Cricetulus griseus: one gene and its partners. The protein of the gene in region 2 interacts with the protein of the main gene of each other region in a pairwise test. Links are inferred from orthologs where the notes say so. Each region holds a gene or a part of one and is shown on either strand. Other genes may lie near its edges.

Region 1 (4,010 bases), on a different chromosome or scaffold from region 2:
ACATTTTAAGCCATTAGAAAAAGATTGTTCTTTGTTCATCAGCTATACAAATAGGCACTTGACCCTGGTTTGCTGGTCTCCTCCCAGAGAGAGGGCCTGCTCCTACAGCAGTCTCCACTGAGAGCAATGAGGCGACTACGACCTTTCCAGCAGAACACCAGCAGAAGCTGGTGTTCCCCCAAAATAGCCCATGAACATGTCTTTGGTAGGGAGTGTGTGTATTGCCTGCATGCGTGCAATACACACACTCTCTTTGTGGAGAGGAAGGGGAGTCTAGATAGACCGTTGTGAGGAACAGGGTGAGGGTTCTATGGACACTAAGAAGCCACTCCTCTGAACTGGGAACAGAAAGAACCATGAATGACTCTCACCTCTAGCCACAGGGGAGGCAGGAACCTCCAGGGACTGAACCAAAACACAGAGCTTCAATAAATAACCAACTCTGTTTTATCCACACCCCAGTGAACTGACACAGTAACTGGAGAGAGCAGCCCTAATACCAAGTACCGGCTGGGTTGAGGGAGTGCTGACATCAGGTAACTCCAGTTAGCTTCCAGAAGTGAACAGGGACCAAAGCCTAGAATGGCAGAGAAAGCCAACCAGATCAATCCTCCTGCCCAGGACTAGAGCCACACACAGATGCTGTCGTAAGCCTTCGGTGCCTTAACCTAGGTCTTTAACTAGATCGTTGGTCACCAACTGGGCTCCTGGTGTCCTCCTATCCTCCCTGGACCAAGACAGGTGAGCGCTGTCATTCCATGGTGACAGGAACATCTTCTACATCTCTGGGGACTGCACTCTGGAGCTCACGTCTGATTTCCGGAGACAACTGTGGGTGGGGCTGCAGTCGAAGCAGTTCCAGGAGGGCCTCCTTCTGGTCCGTGGCCAAGTCGGCCTTGTAGCGTTGTGCCAATGTCAGGAGGCACTGGTGCCAGAGCACAGGCAGCTGGCGCTTCTCCGTCCGGAAGCCCAGAAAATGGAAGACCAGGGCGTCTAGCACCCGGTATGGCAACGCATACTTCTTATCTAACAGCAGGCGCAGGAAAATGCTGTTAGCGCCACTGTATTCCATCTCGGCAATCTTCAGCATGGCCGCACTAGGAGGGAAGCTGGAGTTAAGGACTAGTGGAGAGATTCTGGACAAAGTGTCTCCCCAGACTCACCCTAACCTAGAGCATTCCCAAGGTGTCCCCGCATCTCCTCATTAGTACACTCCTGGGATTGATTCTCTTTACCGCCTGTCTACATCCATCTCACACTTCTGCCTCTGGCCGGGATAGCAAACAATCCCTGCATTCAACTCGATAGGGTGTGTCTAAATGTCTCACCACTCCACCATTTTTCACACCTTTTTCTAGGTATCCATTCATTCATGCCGTCATTCAACAACTATTTACTGAACACCTACTGTGTGCCAGGTCTTTGGATCCTGCCCTCGAAGGCTTCTATTCTACTGGAGGAAATCATATACCTGCTGGTTTAAATAGCCACAGACTCTAGGTAATCATAGCTCATTCTCCCTTCTTGCCCTCCTGCCAAAGTTCTGGCCTCTCTACTACATGACTCTCCACCGACCTCACCAACACTACCTGGAGTGCAACACAGGGATGGAGCACTTGGTGATGATGCTGCCCACGATGATGGCTTCTCGGAGGGTACATGTGCCAGACTCGCACAATGGGATCAGGATTCCTAGGCAGAGTCATATACAGGGACTTTTAGTACCCAGCAACCCCATCATCTAAGGACCAACAGTGGAGATAGCCAGTTGCCAAGCAGAGTACTGACCCTTCCTTTCTCTCCTAATTCTGGGTTTTTACCTTTGAACCAGGCTCCAGGTTTGAAGAGGGCTTTCTTGAGTGCCATGTAGAGGTGAAAGTTGAGTCGTTTGTACTCTGCGATGTCATCTCGTACTCGGGGAAGCAGGACAAGGTTGTAGAAGCGCTGAGCCATCCGTTCTCTCAGATTAGAGGCAAAAATCCTAGCAAGGTGGGAGTTTGCAAGTCACAAGAGTCTGGCCCTGGCCTTTTAAGTATCACCATGCATGAGAGAGGTTTTAGAGTAAGATATGGGGACATCACTTCAGAGAGGGGTATGTGAAGTGGTATGTGAAAGGTTCAGGCATTATGCTGGCCTGCCTCTGTCACCTGGCAGAATCCACTCAGGCAGTACCCTGGTAAGCCCAGGGTTCCATGGGAACTAAGTCTGCACGCAGGTGGTATAGAGGAACCCTTTAAAAGACAGACCCTGCCCACTTACACTCTCTTCTCTTCTCTTCTGCTCTCTCTGCCTCTCTATGGCAACCGGTCATGGCGGTCAGCCATTAACCCCGTTCCTCTTCTTTCTTAGTCTCTACTCTACCGGGCTTATAATAAACTGGGTAATACATCTTAGTCTCATGTCTCATCTTGTGCCTCTTCTTCATTTCTAATTTAAACAAAAGAATAACAGTATGCACACCACACCCAGGTCAGCTTAAAGAGGAGCTACTTTGCCTGCAAGTAGGTCTGTGCACCATATATGTTCCTGGTACCCATCGGATTTCCTAGAGCTAGAGATGGTTGAAAGCCTCCACGTGGGTGCTGGGAATTGAACCCAGGTCTTCTAGAAGAACAAGTGCTCTTAACCACTGAGCCACCTCTCCAGACCTAGCATTTTTCTTTTGTTGGTTTTTCGAGATAGGGTTTCTCTGTGTGTAGTCCTGACTCTACTGGAACTCACTGTGCAGAGCAGGCTGGCCTAGAACTCACAGAAATCCACCTGCCTCTGCCTCCTGAGTACTGGGATTCAAAGTGTGCACCACCATTGCCTGGCCCCTAGTGTATTTCAGACAGTGCTGTTGCTTAGCCCCATGGCCTTTTGTGCATTATTTAAGCGAGGCACCTCGAGCTTCTTTCCCAGTCCAGTTTTTGGCTGGCTACTCTCCTTTCTCCACCATGAGGGACCTGAGGTCACCGGAGAATTCTCAGAATTCTCGAGCTACTCTTCTCTCACACCAGGGCTGTATCCTGGAAGCTATGTAGGCCCTTCCCATGGAAGTCTACCACAGGACTTTGTCCTGAAAACACAGGAGGAGAAGTTAAGGGAGTAGTAGGAACAAGTCCAAGGGAGAGAGCCATGGGCTGGCCAATGACATGGCTGAGGGAGGCAGAGTCTACTCACCACACCCTGCACCACAGATCAGCCGCCCTAGACCATCTACACTACCTGGTGGCTTGATACATAGCAGCTGCAGTCCAGGCCTCAGGCTCAGTGACATAGAGGATTTGCTCCCAGTTGGACAGTGCAGGGATGATCTTAAAAGCCTTGGGCAGTTTCCCACTTCGGTACTTGGATAACACCTGGAGATGGAGGAGGCAGAGCCATCAGCACCCACGGTTGAGGTCCTGGCCCCGTCCCTGCGTTTTCATGCGCGGCCTCACTTATCTTCAGAGCAACCCAAAAAGGCTCATTTCTCAGGTGACCAGAATTTAGTGACTAGACCCTGAGCCCACTGGTTCTGCCTCAGTCCTTTTCTGTCCTGGCCACCATGGCTCACTCGTCGGGTGCCATGTGTGAGAGGCTTCCTGTTAGGATACCCCACCACACATGCCCTCACAGTCCTTACCTCCCGGACTCCTCTGTAGACCTCCAGGACCCGGGGGTCCAGTTGAGGCATAGGGAAGCCCGACACCTCTGACATGACCGTCTCCACCTCTGTCTGCTTCTCTGTCAGCTTCTCCATGATGATGTCAGCCAGTGTGCGCCTATGGAGACAGAGGGGACAAGGGTGAAGAACTAGGGTCACTCTCCAGGAAGCTCTAAAGTCCCCTCACCCTGTTCATGAAAGGAAGGAAGGACAGACAGAAGACAGCCAGCCAGCCATAGTGGCACGAGCCTTTAAGGCCAACACTTGGGCAGATCTCTGTGAGGTTAAGGCCAGTGTGGTGGTCTTCATAGGGAATTCCAGGTCAGCCAGGACTCCGTAGTAAGACACTGTCTCAGAGGAAAAAAGGAGCCACAAAACAGTC
Region 2 (4,644 bases):
GTGAAACCGTGCTTTATAATAGAGATGAAGTCCTATAACAAATGCAAAGAAGGTCTGTCTCAAATCTGCATCCCTTTGGTTCCATGCCATGGAGCTGCTGTTTGAAACAGACATTACATCATCATATATTCCCTAACTTCCAATACTTTTAATTTTCAGGCAATTGAGACGTTCCTAAATAAACAAGAGGGAACAGACCCCCATATAACAGGCGATTAGATTTTTGTGGCTTCCTTGACTCTCCCTAAGTATAATCAATAAGGTTTCCCAAACCTTCACCACAACTTATATCTCCACTGTCCTTGCAAATATAGGTACTGGGGTTGAAGTTTGAGGTATATCATATATGTAGTATGAACAATATGAAAGGTTCAGGCATTATGCTGGCCTGCCCCTGTTACCTGGTGGAATCCACTCAGGCAATACCCTGGTCAGCCCAAGGTTCCATGGGAAAGAAGTCTGCACGCAGGTGCAGAGGACCCCTTTAAAAGATAGGCCCCTGCACCTTTCTCTCTCTCTCTCTCTGCCCCTTTACGCTCGCGCGCTCTCTCTCTCTCCCCCTGTTCCTGCTCTCTGTCCCCTCTCTCTGTTTCCCCGCTGTCTCTCTATGGCGACCGGCCATGGCGGTCAGCCATTACCCTGTCCCTCTTAGTCTCCCCATTCCATTCTACCGGGCCTTATAATAAACTTATAGTCTTAAGTCAATATGTCTGTCTCAATATTTCTCTTTTCTTCTTTTTAAACAAAAGAATAACACAATACCTTATGTCTGAGCCTCAACACCAAAATAAATGAATGATAACAGCTTTTTAAAAGTAGCATAAGGAATCTAACATGGAAATACGAGAAGGCAAAGCTTATGTGTATGACCATCCACTCTGAGCATATCCAATCTCAAAAACTAAGCAGGGGTGGTCATGATCACTGTTTGGCTAGCGATAGAATGTTTGAGATAACCAAAGACCACAATTCAGATCTTGACAACCACTTTCTGTCTTGGCTCACAGGACACAACTTATTCTCATTGTTGTATAAAATGATCTCACGTGCTTTACACTCAGTATATACACCTTTCTCTTTACCATGTAAGCACAGGCTTCAAGGACACACACACACACACACACACACACACACACACACCACACGCACGCACGCACGCACGCACGCACACACGCAGGCATGCATGCCCTTCACGATTGCTAACTATCATTGTGGTGGCTGGTAGCACAAACAAATACATGCAATTTAATGAGCTGTGGTGTCCACTTTTAAAGTAGACAAGAGCAATCGATTTTCAAAATCAAAACCTATGGAAATATTACTTTCTGTATCTCTAATGAGCTCTACCTATGATTACCAATGGCTCAGATTTTCTCTTGGGTTCCTTATTCTTTCAACGGGATAATGTTTCCTATGGCTATTCGCTAAAATAAGGATTTTATCCAAGCAACACGTGGAAATGACAGTCGTCCTGATTTAGTAACCTGAACTTATCCTCCTTTTACGAGGCATAAAACTTCCTCGGTAAATAAGCAACACTAATGAGATGTTTGTAGGAAAACTAGCACCCGCGGTGCTAGAGGAAACATCGGTGTGGCCTGTAAACACCCATTTGAAGGGTGATATAAAGGTCTCAGGGGGGGAAGGAGATGTTTGGAGACAAGACCTCGGCACTACAGCATCCGGTCTGTTCATTCCTTCACAGAAGATGGCTTCTGATGGCTCCCCTGGGTGCTGCTCCTCTGAGCCCTGTGCAGAGGCTCCGGACTGTGCGGCTGCCTCACCCTGTCCCACCGATACAACTTGCCTGCCCAGTACCTGTGCCACATCCAGATGTCAGACCCCGAGCTTCCTCTGCAGGGCTCACCTCTCAGCCGGTCGCCTCTCACCCTGCTACTTCGCTGGCGGTTGTAACAGTCCGTGCCTGGTGGGGAGCTGTGCATGGTGCGAGGAAGGGGCGTTCAACAGCAATGAGAAGGAGACGATGCAGTTCCTGAATGACAGACTGGCCAGCTACCTGGAAAGGGTGAGAAGCCTGGAGGAGAACAATGCGGAGCTCGAATGCAGGATCCGAGAGCAATGCGAGCCCGATGCCCCATTGGTGTGCCCAGATTATCAGCGTTACTTCGACACCATTGAAGAACTCCAGCAAAAGGTTGTGTGTCTCATTCCCTAATGTTCTCTGTTTCCTGTTTCAGAATTCTCTTATATTTACAGTGGCGCGGGTTGTTTTATGGATGTAAAACCAGGGAGGAGGGATTCCCAGAGCTGGTATGCTGCCAGGAAAAGAGGGCCATAGATGGCAAGAAATCTGTCTCAGTATCAGCACTATTGACCATAGAAATGTCATGTCTGTGTGTAGACTATGTCATCTACAGAGAGGGGGAATCTGAATTATGATATCTAAAATCTGTTCTGCATGTATCATTACTTATTTATATTCCTTATCAAACAGACATCAAATGCCATCTCTTTTAGTTCACCTGGTAATCATTTTCCTTTCGTGTGCATGTAGAGAGGGAATACATGCTGTCAATGAGGCCTGAGGTCAATGGCAAGCGTCTTCCACTCCCCGCCTTGTGTTTTGAGACAGAGTCTCTCAAGGGACCTGGGGCTCACTGATTTGACTCACTGGGTGGCTGGCCAGAGAGTCCCAGGGATACTGCTGTCTCTGTCTCCCCTTGCAGGGGTAACAGGCACACACTGCTATACTTAGCTTTCTATACATGAGTTCTACGGTTTGAACCTGGGTCCTCCTACTTGTATTGCAAATGCTCTACTGACAAAGCCTTCTTTCTTTTTTCATTGATGAATTTCTATGACCACAGACAGAGATGCAACTCTAATAAATATTAGCAGTGGAGAAAACTAACAAAGCTCAGCTGTCAATGATGACTGCCAAATGTCCTGCCTTGTGTCACTTATAAAGGAAACCTTGAGATGCAGAAATGACTCAGCAGTGGATAGCAGCACTGTAGCGCTCATGAGCAACCTGAGTTCAGTTCCCAATACCCATATATGGCAGTTCACAACCACCTATAAGTTCATCTCCCGAGGACCTGACACTCTCTTCTGGCATCCTAAGGCAAAGAACAAGTCTACACACACACACACACAGAGTCAGAGAGAGAGAGAGAGAGAGAGAGAGAGAGAGAGAGAGAGAGAGAGAGAGATCAAATACATACACACTCTCACACACAATTGGAAAAAAGATAAAATCTTTTTTTAGAAAGAGAACCTATTTTTATGTCTGTATTTTGTTTCTAAATTGGCACTGCATGTCTCCTTTTTTCTCCATGGTATAGTTATAGGCTGAAAATTATGTTATGCTAATTTTGTTAAGCTAATGAATGGCAGACTGTTAAAACAGAAATGTGGGTTTCTTCCAAAGAGCTGTTGATTACATAATGACTTGCCTCTTAGATACTGTGCACGAAGGCAGAGAATTCTAGACTTGCCGTACAGGTGGACAACTGCAAACTGGCTGCTGATGATTTTAGGTCAAAGTAAGTCAAATTGTATTTATTTTTTAAACCACATTGTATTTTATGTATACAAATTGCATTCTAAATCTTAAATTTAATTTGAAAATAATAATGGCCTCCAGTGATAGAGAATTCTCTGCATGAGATCTTTTTTTTTTAATTTAGAATGTTTGAAACTTGAATTCACCATCATTTGGGATACCCGGGGAATTGTGACATGTGTCTCCCTGGAGGCCACATGTCACTCATCCTTGTACCCCGGCACTTTGGTCAGTGTTTAGCCAAGTAACACACTCCCTTTTCTTTCTCTTGCTGTGAAAGGTATGAGAGTGAACTGTCTCTTCGCCAGCTGGTGGAGAATGACATCGGTGGCCTTCGTGGGATCCTGGGTGAACTGACCCTGTGCAAGTCAGATCTGGAGGCCCACGTGGAGTCCCTGAAAAGTGATCTCCTTTGCCTTAAGAAAAGCCACGAAGAGGTAAGTGAAGTGGCCACTGTGCCAAGGACTATAGGGAGAGTTCTACCGAGAGATTTCATGGGTATAAACTGAACCAGGGCAGACACTGACTAAGCTGGAACAAAACCAGAGGCAGGCCCACTGTGTGGTTTGAGCATCCCAGTGTCTCTCAAGGTAGATGTGACATACAGTGTGTATTGTTGCATAACATCACCCGCCCCAAGTGCCAGGGTGAGGCCACTCTCCCTCCTGCCATTGCTTGGGTGAAGAATTAACTCCACTAATGGCTATTTCTGTAGCTCTACTGTACAACAAGAAAATAGAGCTGTATCCACTTCCAAAAAAGGAATAAATAGTCATGCAATATTAGGAGTAATATTTTTTAGATATTGTACATTTATAATCTTGTTTCTATTATAAGCTTAAGAATGAAATGCAGAGTTACATAATAAAGTAAAACAAAAATGTATTCTTTGCATATTTTGATGGTAGTAACAGCTGACAATTACAGATACCTTAGCATTTCTCAAGAATTTTATAAATTTATTGTCTAACTCTTCCCTGTTTCACAATAACCCTCTGGAAAAGAGAACAGTATTATAGCCATTTTGAAAATGAAGAAACTGAGACACTTGAAACTAAGAAAAAGAGGGAGATAGAGAAATGGCCCAGCAGTTAAGAGTGCTTGGTGCTCTTCCAGAG
Region 3 (4,010 bases), on a different chromosome or scaffold from region 2:
GGTCTCCGTGGGTCTGGATGACATGGGGTGGTTGTCTGCCTCCATCCCCACAGCCTGAAGAATATCCTGGTTGTACCTTTCAGGGTGCGGCGGGCCAGCAGGATACTGAGAGGCTTGCTCTCCCAGCCCTCCAGCAGCGGATCTCCTTGTTCCCTGGCACCCACCTCACCCCATACCTGAGCACCTCACCCTTGGAGCGGGATGGTGGAGCAGCTCACAACCCCCTCCTGCAGCATATGGTCCTGCTGGAGCAGGCCCCCACCCAGACACCCCTTGTCACAGGTAAGAAACATCGCCAGGTCTCTGGGCAGTTAGGTCAGTCTCATTGGCCTCTTGTAGCCCACACAACAGTAGTCACTCTGGGTCCCTGTTATGTGATACCTACCTCAGCTCTGACAAGGATCTGTGTCCTCCTTAGAAAGCTGGCCAAGAGGTAGAAGTCAATGCCAGTGCCCTCTGTTTAGCCTCCTGCTCTTCCTCAGACAGGTTTCCCTGCAGCTCAAGGAAGCCAGTGCATGGAATTCAGAATTGACTGGACAGACCCCTGATTGCTTGAGGATGATTACATTTAGAAAAATACAAGTTAGAGAAAGATAGGAAACTCGTGCAGTTTACCTAGTGAATGTGCTATAAAGAGACTGTTTAAGAAGTGACACAGAGCCCTACCTATTAGTGGCCTTGCCCAGCTGTATGTCATCCTTAGGTCTGTGGGTGACTTCCTCACAGCTATTGCTTCACTCAGAATCATGGCCAGAGCAATTTTAGGACTGGCTTGTACATGTTCCCATGTTCCCCTGGGCCAGCCTCTGACTGGTGTTTTGGAGTACCTCCACCTGCTGGTATGAGTCAATCTGTAGCACTTGGTATTGTGTTCTGCCTTGTGCTTTTTCATCTCCAATGTGCACTTGGCTCTCCCAAACCACTGATCTGGACAGAAATAGCATTTCTGGCCACTGGTATCGTCTGAGAAATAATGGACACCCCTGCCGCAGCTCTGGAGAACAGTGTCCCAGTGAACAACCATGAGTTGTTCATTATGTTCAGGCCCCTTCCTGTCTGTTCTCTGGGAAACTGCTCGCTGTGGGCTTCATCTTCCCACCTGTGAGTGAGATGCTAGCACAGAGTGATGACACTTCAGTTCCCATATGCAGCATCTGACACCCAGCAACCTGGTCGGTGTTAGTCTCCTGGTTGAGGCTGTTCCTCTTGTGTTGGATTTGGTGGTTTTGGTTTTTGTCTGTTTACTTATTTGGTCCTTTGTTACTGTTTTGATACTAAATCTTACTTTGTTGCCCAGACTAGCCTCAAACTCTGATTCTCTTGCCTCAGTCTCCTAAGTGCTAGGATGTTGCCCAGGCTAGCCTCAAACTCTGATTCTCTTCCTCAGTCTCCTAAGTGCTGGGATGTCAGACCTCCACACTCTTCCCCCAATAATTCCACCCATTCTTCCTAGTGCCCCACCTCCTCCATGTCATGTGGTCCTGATGCTGCATCTCATTGGGTTTCTTCTGTTCTCTGAGGAGAGGAACCTGAACAGGGTTTCTTATGCTCAGCCATAGCTGTCCTTAGAGGCCCAAGTTCCCTATTGTCTAGAGCAATGATAAATGATACTGTGTGTAGTGCCCAAGCCTATGAGCATTCAAGCCAAAGTCATAGTACAGCATCCCACTACTTATGAGCTGCTCATCTCAGGACAGTGCCCACTGGCAAAGGGGTCAGTCAGCTCTTAGCACAGATGCCAGCCTTCACCACAGTCCTCCTCCTGGGCCGACTGACCAGGGAAAGTATGTGGAAGCAAACATTCTTCTCTAGGCCCTTCCCACTGCTTTGAGCTCACGTCTGCCCACTGTCCTGCAGCTGCTGCCTCTGCTCTCCACCGTCTGCATGCTGTGCTCTCACTGAATTTGCCTGCTCTCTGTGAAGCCCCACTCTCCTGCCCCTGGAGAAGATTTGCTTCCTTCCCTGTGCCACCCTCCCCTCCTTTCCCGATACCACTCTGTGTCTGATACAAAGTGGTGGGATTTGTTGAAGCTCAAGGTCTTGACAGTGCCTGGGTGTCTGATGGAGACAGGGTCTCACTGTCAGTTTGTCTCTGCATTCTCTCTGGCAATTGGGTGTGTGGGAGAGCTAGAGCAGCCATCCTCTGGAACACCTGTGAGAGGTGTGGTAGGCTGATGCTAGGCTGTTGCCACACTTCTGGAGCGCTCCTCTGTCAGAGTTCCTGGAGAGCCTGCATCGATGGGATCTTCAGGTGGCCTTGCTTTCAATTACACTCTGCCCACCCTGAAGCCCAGGCTCCAAGCTAACACCCTGTAGCTGGAATTGGACCTGTTTGCAGAAAGTCATGTTTCATAGAAGGCACCTGGGCTGGCAGGCATGTGGTTTTCTCCACTGGTTACTCAACAGCGTCTCTCCCTCTCTTCTTCCTCTTCCCCTCTGCTGTTTTTTTTTCCTCCATATTATCTTCAGACTGGTATCTTTCAGGCCTGGGGGCGCTGCCCCTCCACACACAGTCCCTGGTTGGTGCGGACAGGGTGTCCCCATCCATTCACAAGTTGCGGCAGCACCGCCCCCTGGGGCGCACACAGTCAGCGCCCCTGCCGCAGAACGCACAGGCCCTGCAGCACCTGGTGATCCAGCAGCAGCACCAGCAGTTCCTGGAGAAGCACAAGCAACAGTTCCAGCAGCAGCAGCTGCACCTCAGCAAGGTGGGTCTGCCCAGCTGCCTTCCCTCTGGGACTGCTTACCTAGAGCCAGATGCCATATGCCTTGCCCCTCTGCTGACCTTGAGTGGCCAAAGCAAGGCAGGGAGAACACAAAGCACATGTTCAGGTGCGTGGTCCAAAGCCCAGGAAGCTGTGCTGCTGTGTGGAGCTGCTGTGCAGATGTGTCCACAGCCTTCCTTATAGCCCGTCTGTCTGTGAGTACAGCTGTGCAAGAAGCCTCTGCAGTGTTGTGTGGGGCAATCCACAGAGGGATTTTCTAAAGCCATTTGCCAAGTAGATCTTTAAGCAGACCTTAACCTGAGGCCTACAACTTTACAATGGCACCTAGTCCCTGAAGCATATTTTTCAAGTCACCTGGCACCTGCAATCACTTAAATGTGGGAGTTACACCATCTGAGGCAGCTTGAGACCAGGCATCCTGTAAAGGTCTGCACACTCGCAGACTGTCCAGAGCCTCTCAGCTCCATCTACAGGTGGAGGCTGTGGGAAAAGTTAGTACAGTGGTCCTGTCAAGTAGAGAAATGGAGGGACTTAATATGTTCCCATCAAATGTGTCAGTTGGGTGGCTTCAGTATGAACTCAGATGAGTGCATTGCAGCTGGCCTCCAAGAAGAATGGAAATGTCTTGCAGACGCCTCTCCACACACCTCATCTGTACTGCTCATAGCAGCCAGATGATGGATGGAACATCCCCAGGTGACATCCTGTGGTGACTGATGACAGAACACACCCCTCTTATCATGGGGTCCTGCAGCAGGTATAGACCCGAAAACCTGGCAGTTGGGAAAGTAAACCAGTCACGAATGGACCCCACTGTGTTTCACTCACAGGTATAGGCAAAGCCTTAGACCTAATGCTGTGACCCTGTAATACAGTTCCTCGTGTTGTGGTGAACCCCCAAACCATAACATTATTTCATGCTACTCCATAACTGTAATTTTGCTGCTGTTGTGAATCGTAATGCAAATGTCTGATATGCAGCCCCTGTGAAAAGGTTACTCAGCTCCCAAAGGGGTCACCACCCACAGGATGAAAACTGCTGCCTAAGAGGCATGAATTAAGTTAGTGGTTGTCAAGAGCTACAGTGGGTACAGCATTTATGTATGTTTAAAGGTAATGAAAATGTTCTCAAGCTAGGTTATAGTGATAGCTACAAAGTTCTGTAATGTGCTCTGCTGTTCAGTTTAAAAGTGTGGAGTTTAGGACTTAAGAATTACATTTATTCTAGATATCTGGAGTAGGATACATTCCAGAGTACTCAGTATGTGCCAGAAACTAGGAAGC
Region 4 (4,010 bases), on a different chromosome or scaffold from region 2:
AGAGCAAGTAACAGGACAACTAGGGATGCACAGAAAAACTCTGTCTCTCGAAAAACCAAAGAAATAACCCGTGAAGGATGCAGCTTCCTTTTTATCGCCAAACATAACGGTTTCATTTACATACAAAGCAAATTTATATCCAAGACACCTGCTTTAATTTGAGTGTCTGGGCAGGGTACAGGCTTTTCTTTGCCTCCAAGACCTTCCTGGTGTCAGACATGGCCAGGGTCTGGCTTCCCTCTCTGGCCCGCTCACCTGCACCTCCAGGGTCACCATAATACAGTCGTGGTGCTCCGCACCTTCTTACCTGCTGTAGGGCGTCCTCAGCAGCAGGGCCTGGCTGCCGGTGCAGCTGTCCGAAGGGGTGTGGCAGCCATACACCGGGGGCGGCACCGAATATTGCTGCTCGCCTGCCAGAGAGCCAAGGGTGGTAGTGAGCGGGACTCAAGAGTGTGAGGCACAGGCAGGGGTTCTGGTGCGAGGGAGAGCGTGCTGAGCTTCGGACAGTATGGCCAGCCATGTGACAAAAAGGCCGCTCTCAATCCAAGGGAACGAAAACTTCCTCACTTCAGGTTGCATTGCCATCACTCTCTGGCATTGGTTGCCTTGTCTGAGTGGCGCTTTTTTGTAACTTACTTAGAATGGACAGAGCTGTGATCTTTCAAACAGAGGAAAGCCAGCTATTATTTCTAGATCCCTTTAGATGTACTCTATCCCCTTTCCCAATTTGGTAAGGCTTAGATCCGCGCAGGAAGCGGTGCAATACGTGGAGGCAGTGGGTAAAGACCCGCATCTTTTCCATCCACTTACCCAGAGAGCCCTGCTGGCTCATGGGGTCCTCGTGTTTGAAGGAGTGGTTGGGAAACTGCGCTGCATGGTGCGAGGGCGTGTGGCCGTAGCTGGGTGCCCCTTCGAAAGTGACCGTGCTGTATCCTGAGGAACCGACAGAAAGAAGCACAGAGTCAGTTAGGCTCGGGGAAAAAGCAGGAGCATTGGCGCGACTAGAACTCGGGTGATAATCGGGTACCTGACTTTGGACCCTCCGACTAGAACCTCATTCAGGCTTAAAGCAGGCATGACCTCATCCATACTTTTTCCCAACTAAAATCCCAAGCTCCTTCTGTTCCCCAATTCTTCTATGTTTCAGTCTTCCATTGCTGAATAGAGCCTCCCCAAGTTAGGTGTAAAAACCGTCGCCCGCCTGGCGGAGACTGTCTTTCTTAAAAACAAACAACACCGAGGTTCTCGCGCAAGGGCGGCTCGGCCCAGAGGACTGAGTTTCCTCCGCTGACCCCGCTTTGACTCAGGGCTGTAAATCAGGGGCCGTGCACCAACTTCCATTAATTACTGGGGCCAGTTCAGCGGTCTGCGCTTTAAAAGCAGAGAGAACTACCAGGGCACATTACCTCTCTGGGCTGCACAGCCTGACACCAAGACACCGAAAGCCTTTAGGAAGGTTTGTGTGGCTGGAAAAGGAGGACCCTCGCAGCTGGGTCGAGTCCTTCTTCCCCTCCCACGCCTACCCGGGGCTCAGAGGGCCCAATTTTGACCACTGCTGTAATGACTAACCTTTCAGTGTGCGGGACACTGACCTTAACTGTCCCTGGGTAGCAGTGTCTCAGTTCCTTGCCTCAGTTTCCCTTCTGAGAAACAGAAACTGGTGCTCTTTCCTATCACCCAAATGGATGAAAAGCAATGTCGAGTCTTGGAAATCTCATTCTTGAATTGATATTGTTATTAAATTTCTATAAATACATATCCCACCTGCTTTGCCAAAGCTCAAGTTGGTGCAAGAGATGGCATCCTAAGAATCCTCCTAGGGACTTTATGAGGGTGGGGCCTCCTCTTCCTGTGGTGAAGTTAGGAAGAGGGAACCCAGACTGGCAGGATAGAATGCAAATGAGGCTGGACCCTGAGAATGGCCCCTTCAGGGCAATCACTAGAGCCCCAATGGCTTCCTACTGCGCAGCCTCTAAAGCCAAAAAAAAACAAAAACAAAACAAAAACCTCTAGAAATTAAGGTAAAACAAAGTCCCCACTCTTGCACCAGTTGATCAAGGTTCTTCAATAAGGGATGGCCGAGATCATTCATTCTGTATAGAGACAGGAGGCCAGTTATCTCCAACGTCAAAATTATAGAGGGCGACACCCACTGCCCAAACTATCCGGGTCACTCCGGAGCAGTAAATGTACACGGCCAGATTGACGTGTTTCACAGTGAAGGGATAGGAATTACCGAGTTATGTCCCTCGAAGACAAGTGCCCCGGGAGCTCTGGTTAGTGAATGGGGGAATCAGTCAGCTTTTCAACCTGAGTGAGCCCAGAGTGCCTCATTTTTCTTCCTGTGAAGTGGAGAAAGATAATCTCCAACCCTAATAGCTCTTGGGTGTGGATCAATAAGCACATCTGGCCTTCCAGGGACTTCCTTTTCAGAGAAAAGCCCTGGTCCTACTTGAGGCCTACAGCTTACAAACGAAATTTGGATCTAGGCACCCACCCGAGTTTTCCCATCAGAAATGAGGAGTTTGTGAAAGAGCACTTAAACAAAAAAGGGGGGACGCGGGGGAGGAAGTAGAGGCAATAAAGAAAGTTTCTCTAAACGAACCCTTCTCCATTTCTGAGCCGAGCAGCCAAAGACCTAAGGCACGCACAGTCTGAGACCCGCTGCTCAACCGCAGGTGGCAAGAGCTGCTGGTGCCAGGCTGCAGCTCCCACGCTGGGGACCTCCACTCGGCGCTCTGGAACTCCGGCTTGAGGATGCGGGAGTCCGACAAGGCTCCCTACCCACCTAGTCGGTGGTGAGACGACGACCTCGGCAGGCAACCTCGAGCCCCTCCCTTGGGGCTCCTGGGAGGGGCAACAGTGAAAGCCGCGGGATCCGAGGGAGAGCTCTTTTAATTAGAAGCTTATCAGAATCAGTGCTGATTAGGAACCCGCTGTACCGGGACTGAGCTGAGCCCATCTCGAAGAGGGTGGGAGTGAGAGTCGGGGGAGAGACTGCTGACTCTGCGAAGTATCAAAAGTGTTCAAAAGCTTCTTGTCCAGGCCTTGCAGGGAGAGACCCTCGAGGCCAAGGTAGCCACTTTCCCACGATTGGTCTGGACCAGGGAGGGGACAGCAACCTTGACCTTGCAGGAAGGAGCACAGCGCCCTGAGCACTCCTCCCCTGCCTCCACTGTGGAGGAGCCCGGAACAGGCTGCCCCAGCCTGGTCCTGTGGAGCTGATGAGGAGATCCTACAACAGCTAAGCCTGGGAGGTGTTCCGGAAAACCTTGCTGCCATGAGATAGGTGGAGTCCTCACTCCCACCCAACTACTGTCTTTGATGTAACCCGAGGGGGGCGCCTTTGGCCCCATCACAGCTGGTCTTCCTCTCGTGACTAGCTTCGGAAGGGCTGATCCCCGGGCTCTAAGCTCACGCTGATGTGAGCACTAGCTACTAGCTAGTGCTGGGAATGGGTGTGGGGTGTCAGAAGCCGACTGTCAAGGCCACATTGGGGCCAGACTAGGAAAATCCTCACCCTCACTTCTGGGTCCTGACAAACTTTCCAACCATCTCACACTCACAAGTTGTCAGGGCCTATTCAACCGCGCAGAGAAAATCCACCTCAATCACACAGTCAAAATTTCTGGGGGGGGGGGGTGGAACAGAAGAAAAATATGGGTTCAAGTCCTAGCTCTGCCAAAACCTAAGAGGCCTCTTGAAGTCTAATCCCCTAGTGCCTAGACTTCAGTCCCTAGTATTAAGAGGCTCACTCCTTCTATCTCGGGCTATGTGCTTCTTGTAAAGGTTCCTATAGCCATTAACTGTCTTAATAGAGAATCTACACCCCCTCCCCACCAAGTAATGTTTTGGTGTTTGCTAAATTTATGTTTAGACAATTAGGGTGGCAGCTATATAAGAAATATATATAAGAAATATATATATATATATATATATATATATATATATATATATATGAAGGGATGAGTGAGTGTCATAGTTAGGCTCCCTGGTTTGTATACAGGTAA
Region 5 (4,010 bases), on a different chromosome or scaffold from region 2:
GAACTGGGATTGGTATGTAAAATAAGATTGTTTTTAATTTAAATAAAAATAATAAAGAAAAAGAAAGTTTAAAAAGGGGAGGCCAGTACTGAGAAAATGGGATGAGGAAAGACAAGTAAAAAAGAAAATTTGTTTTGGAGTTTACCATTGGCAGTGGTGCGAGACAACCCATGAGACATACTGTAAATGCCAGCGTACAGGAAAGACGTCACAAAAAACAGATGTGTCTGTAAAGGAAATGAAGACGGAGGACAACTCTCCGAGTTTCAGTGGCCAGCAGTCTTCAGGGACATCAATACAAATGTCTTCAACAAGGAGACACAGCTAAAGACTCACCTCATGCTTGGAGAAGAGCCGGACACCCTCCAGCTGGTGGAAAACTGGGTAGTGCTGGGAATCAATCTGGTCACGACGATACACATCACCCACCACGAGGAAGGCATTAAGTCCTGCATGCAGCAAGTCCCACTGGTGTGCTGATGTGTGTGCTCTCAGCATGTGCACCCGATTCAAGTAATAGTTGTCCCCCTTCTTCCTGCTGGGGTGGTCCGCTGGGATTAGCAGGCTATCAAAGTTCTGCCATGTAGTGACCACTGGCGGAAGCTGGTCATAGACGGAGAACAGAGGGGTCCTGGGTCGGCCCATGTACTGCCGGTAGAAGTGCTCCTTCACCCGCTCCTTGATCAGCCACAGAGGGTGGTACTTCTGGTTGTGCAGGTTCCTGCCCACCTTGGAAAGGACCTTCGGGGTGAGGTTGGTGTGGTCATCCTGAGGGTAGGATTTTCCCAGCAGCTCCACCACACTGCCTGGAGCACCTTGGGCAGCAAATTGTGATGCAGCTGGCCTTGAGCCCCAGGCCTGATGCTGATGGCATCTGAAGACATGGCTGATGTTCCTTACTAGGAAGGTGTGTTCATGGGCAGCTCTGATGAAGGCTGAACAGACCATCATGGAAACTTCTCACAAATTCTGGAAAGAATGCACAGAAATTGCACAAGTAAAGTTTCATTCTGTGGACAACAACGAATGTATTCTTGTGTTCTCTCAACAGGCTCACTACTTTCCTAGTGACATTCTGTCCCTGACATCACATGTCCCTGACATCACATGTCCCTGACATCACGGCCACACCACAGGAAGACAACTGAGAAAATCTATTCATAGGCCATTATAATTTGAATATTCTCCCCAGAATTCCTGTTGAAATTTCACTGCCATCTAATAGGATTAAAAGGTGCAAAGCACAAGGGCCCTACCTCTAGAACATGAGTGGGTTAATTAGTGTGGGAATGGGCTCCTCATACAAGGGTAAGCTCAAACTTTGTTCTCTCTCTTTTGCCACAAGATGATCAAACTAGAAGGGCCTGGCTTCATGGTAGTGCCTTGATCTTTAACACCAAACTCCAGAGCTGTGAGAAACAAGTTTCCTTTTATTATACATTGTTCAATCTGTGGTATTCTCTTATACCAAGAAAAAAAATGACTCTAGCTTGTTGGTGCACACCTTTAATCCTGCAACTAAGAGACAAAGGCAGGTGGATTTCTATAAGTTTGAGGCTATCCTGGTCTAGCATAGCAAGTCCCAGGCAGGTCAAGGTTACATAGTAAGACCCTGTCTCAAAATTTTAACTAATTAATAAATAAACAAACAAAACATGCTACGACAAAGCCTTAGTGTTTACTGCACTAAATCAGAATACTGAAGGTGCTTATAGGTCACTAATTTCTAGGTGTCCATCTTCTGTCATTTAAATTCTTTGCTCTATAGAGAAAAAGGCCTTCACATGCCACCTTGTTCAAATCTCATGAAGAAGAAAGCATTCTAAGCAACAACTACCTTTATTTTTACTACACTGTAACTTACAACCAAAAGAATCAGCAGAATGATCACCTGAAAGTTATCAGAGTCCATAGAGTTGGACTCACTCATTAAAGAGACTATATGTTCATATTAAGACTAAGACCTCTGATGGGCAACAAGAGAAGATTACAGAAAATACCCACACTTCACCTTTCTGCTCTCTACCCTTATAACTACAAAGCCCTCTTTTCCTTTTACAGAGAGTACCTACTGCCCTCTGGAATAATTCACAGAATAATAAAAAAAGCCATTAACTATACCTTTGAAAAAACATTTTGAATAGGACCTTGGGAGATGGCTCAGTTGATAAAGTACATGTAAGAGAGCCCACGTTTGGATCCCCTGTGCCCATGTAAAAAAAGATGGACACGACAGCAAGCATCTGGAAAACCATCATTGGGTCAGGGGCTCATGAGCCAGTCAGCCTAGCTAAACTGATGAGTTCCAAGTACACCGAAAGACTCTGTCTATAAAAATAAGGTGGGGAGTATGAGAGGTCCTGTCTCAAAACCAAGGTGGGAAATATCTGAGAAAATCATCCAATGTTGACCACTGGCTTCTACATGTACCTAAATGCACACAACCACATGAACACATATACACAGCACATACACAAACATCAGATCTTCTGAATAAAGTTATTACTTTAAATGGTAGAGAGTTACATTCAGTGATTCAAAAAAAAAAACTTAATGAAACAATACTAAGTAACAGACTATGCCAAGAGTGGGAAGAAATTATATTTGTGAATGTAAGTCTTCTTGCTCTTATTGGTCATGACATTTAATCTAAAACCCTTTGCATCATTCCATCAGTGACTATCCCTCCTCATAAAAGACAGTTTCTATTGTAATATGTGCACACAATAAGCCTAAAATAGAACAGAATTTACTGGAAAGGGGACACAAAGTTGACAGAAGATAGAGACTGACTCGGGGAGCAGCAAGAGAAAGAAAAATATATAACATTTTGTAAGATTATAGAATTTCCCAACTAATAGCCATCTCAGCAATCATGTGGGATAGATCATTGACTTCTCAGGTAAAATATGAATACCCAGGAATAGATGCCCAAACTCTATGCCTATTAGTGGAAAGACTATGATCTACTAACATTGTTTATGCTTTACATCTGGTGTAATTTAAAAAGCGGCACTCAAGAGAAAGATGCCATGTGATAGGCAGAGAGGGAGGAGACAGAGAGACAGGCAGAGAAGTAGAGAAGTAGAGAGAGAGATACAGAGAGAAAGAGAGACAGAGAGGGAGAGAAAGATAGGAGGTGGGCAGGGCCTTTTTAAAAGGGAATGTAGTGAATGTGCACAGGTTGTGCTCCTAGTGGCTGCTGCTAAGGATATATTCTGTCAGAACGCCAAGAGCAAGCCAGTACAGATGCCTGAATACTAACAACATCAAAAAAGGAGTTTTGAACTCCCTCAGGGACCATATTAACCAGGGTAACTAGAGATGAAAGTTGAAAATTTAGAAATAATTTAAGTTCTTAAACTTAAGTCACTCATTTTTTTTGAACATTCATTATGAGATAATTTAAAATATACAACTTGGTTACTTTCCTTCAATTCCACCAAAAATACATAACTCCATGGTCCATCAAAAGCCTATCTCACAGCACAACTGCCAGAGTCAAAATTCCAAGAGGGAAGAACTTCCTAGAAGCCTGTCCCTTAAACTATCATGATAGAGAAGCTTTCAGAGATTCCCAGGAATGCTCTGGAGTTATGCACATGGCATTGCTTTGTCAGAGTTATTTCTAGTGTTTTGGGCTGAGCTTCAACTGAAATCTGTCTTGCCGTCTACGTTGTTCAGTAACTTGTCCCTGCAGTAGATATGAATTTCAAATTTGCACATGCAGCCTTACACATCCCAGCACAAACCCACACTGTTAAGCTGCTAGTTACTCAGCTCAGTAGTCTTGGCAAGATATAAGAAAACATTTCTTTCTTCCACAAGCACATACTGTTATACAAAGTTTAGGACTGGTTGAAAGGGTACCTTTATACGGTTATTTATGGTTGCCAACTGTGTTTTATTTCATCAGCGTCTCATCTCACACACAAAAAGTCTTTCCAGGTTCCCATAGATGAACTTTATCCTAACATCCTGTAATGATCTTCTCACATGTCAAGCTTGTC

Evidence for each region. The genes of interacting proteins can lie anywhere in the genome.
Region 1: the proteins of keratin, type I cytoskeletal 40 (region 2) and bystin interact in binary tests that used the Homo sapiens proteins (3 or more experiments, as listed by UniProt). The two-hybrid records come from large-scale screens. The link is inferred for Cricetulus griseus from reciprocal best matches to the Homo sapiens genes KRT40 and BYSL.
Region 3: the proteins of keratin, type I cytoskeletal 40 (region 2) and Hdac4 interact in binary tests that used the Homo sapiens proteins (3 or more experiments, as listed by UniProt). The two-hybrid records come from large-scale screens. The link is inferred for Cricetulus griseus from reciprocal best matches to the Homo sapiens genes KRT40 and HDAC4.
Region 4: the proteins of keratin, type I cytoskeletal 40 (region 2) and Wt1 interact in binary tests that used the Homo sapiens proteins (3 or more experiments, as listed by UniProt). The two-hybrid records come from large-scale screens. The link is inferred for Cricetulus griseus from reciprocal best matches to the Homo sapiens genes KRT40 and WT1.
Region 5: the proteins of keratin, type I cytoskeletal 40 (region 2) and Fars2 interact in binary tests that used the Homo sapiens proteins (3 or more experiments, as listed by UniProt). The two-hybrid records come from large-scale screens. The link is inferred for Cricetulus griseus from reciprocal best matches to the Homo sapiens genes KRT40 and FARS2.

The regions. Positions count from the first base shown.
Region 1 is NW_023276806.1:255,587,504-255,591,513, reverse strand, and holds the end of bystin, read right to left. Parts: intron 3,747-4,010; coding exon 3,608-3,746; intron 3,342-3,607; coding exon 3,208-3,341; intron 1,982-3,207; coding exon 1,821-1,981; intron 1,693-1,820; coding exon 1,590-1,692; intron 1,098-1,589; coding exon 752-1,097; 3' UTR 425-751; downstream 1-424. UniProt on the Homo sapiens protein: Required for processing of 20S pre-rRNA precursor and biogenesis of 40S ribosomal subunits. May be required for trophinin-dependent regulation of cell adhesion during implantation of human embryos.
Region 2 is NC_048600.1:113,048,607-113,053,250, forward strand, and holds the start of keratin, type I cytoskeletal 40, read left to right. Parts: upstream 1-1,708; coding exon 1,709-2,155; intron 2,156-3,423; coding exon 3,424-3,506; intron 3,507-3,806; coding exon 3,807-3,963; intron 3,964-4,644. UniProt on the Homo sapiens protein: May play a role in late hair differentiation.
Region 3 is NC_048595.1:443,481,845-443,485,854, reverse strand, and holds part of Hdac4 (histone deacetylase 4), read left to right. Parts: intron 1-83; coding exon 84-282; intron 283-2,469; coding exon 2,470-2,708; intron 2,709-4,010. UniProt on the Homo sapiens protein: Responsible for the deacetylation of lysine residues on the N-terminal part of the core histones (H2A, H2B, H3 and H4).
Region 4 is NC_048599.1:72,536,105-72,540,114, forward strand, and holds part of Wt1 (Wilms tumor protein), read right to left. Parts: intron 2,616-4,010; coding exon of another isoform or gene 2,606-2,615; intron 934-2,605; coding exon 811-933; intron 411-810; coding exon 308-410; intron 1-307. UniProt on the Homo sapiens protein: Transcription factor that plays an important role in cellular development and cell survival. Recognizes and binds to the DNA sequence 5'-GCG(T/G)GGGCG-3'. Regulates the expression of numerous target genes, including EPO.
Region 5 is NC_048596.1:255,923,106-255,927,115, reverse strand, and holds part of Fars2 (phenylalanine--tRNA ligase, mitochondrial), read right to left. Parts: intron 970-4,010; 5' UTR 952-969; coding exon 337-951; intron 1-336. UniProt on the Homo sapiens protein: Is responsible for the charging of tRNA(Phe) with phenylalanine in mitochondrial translation.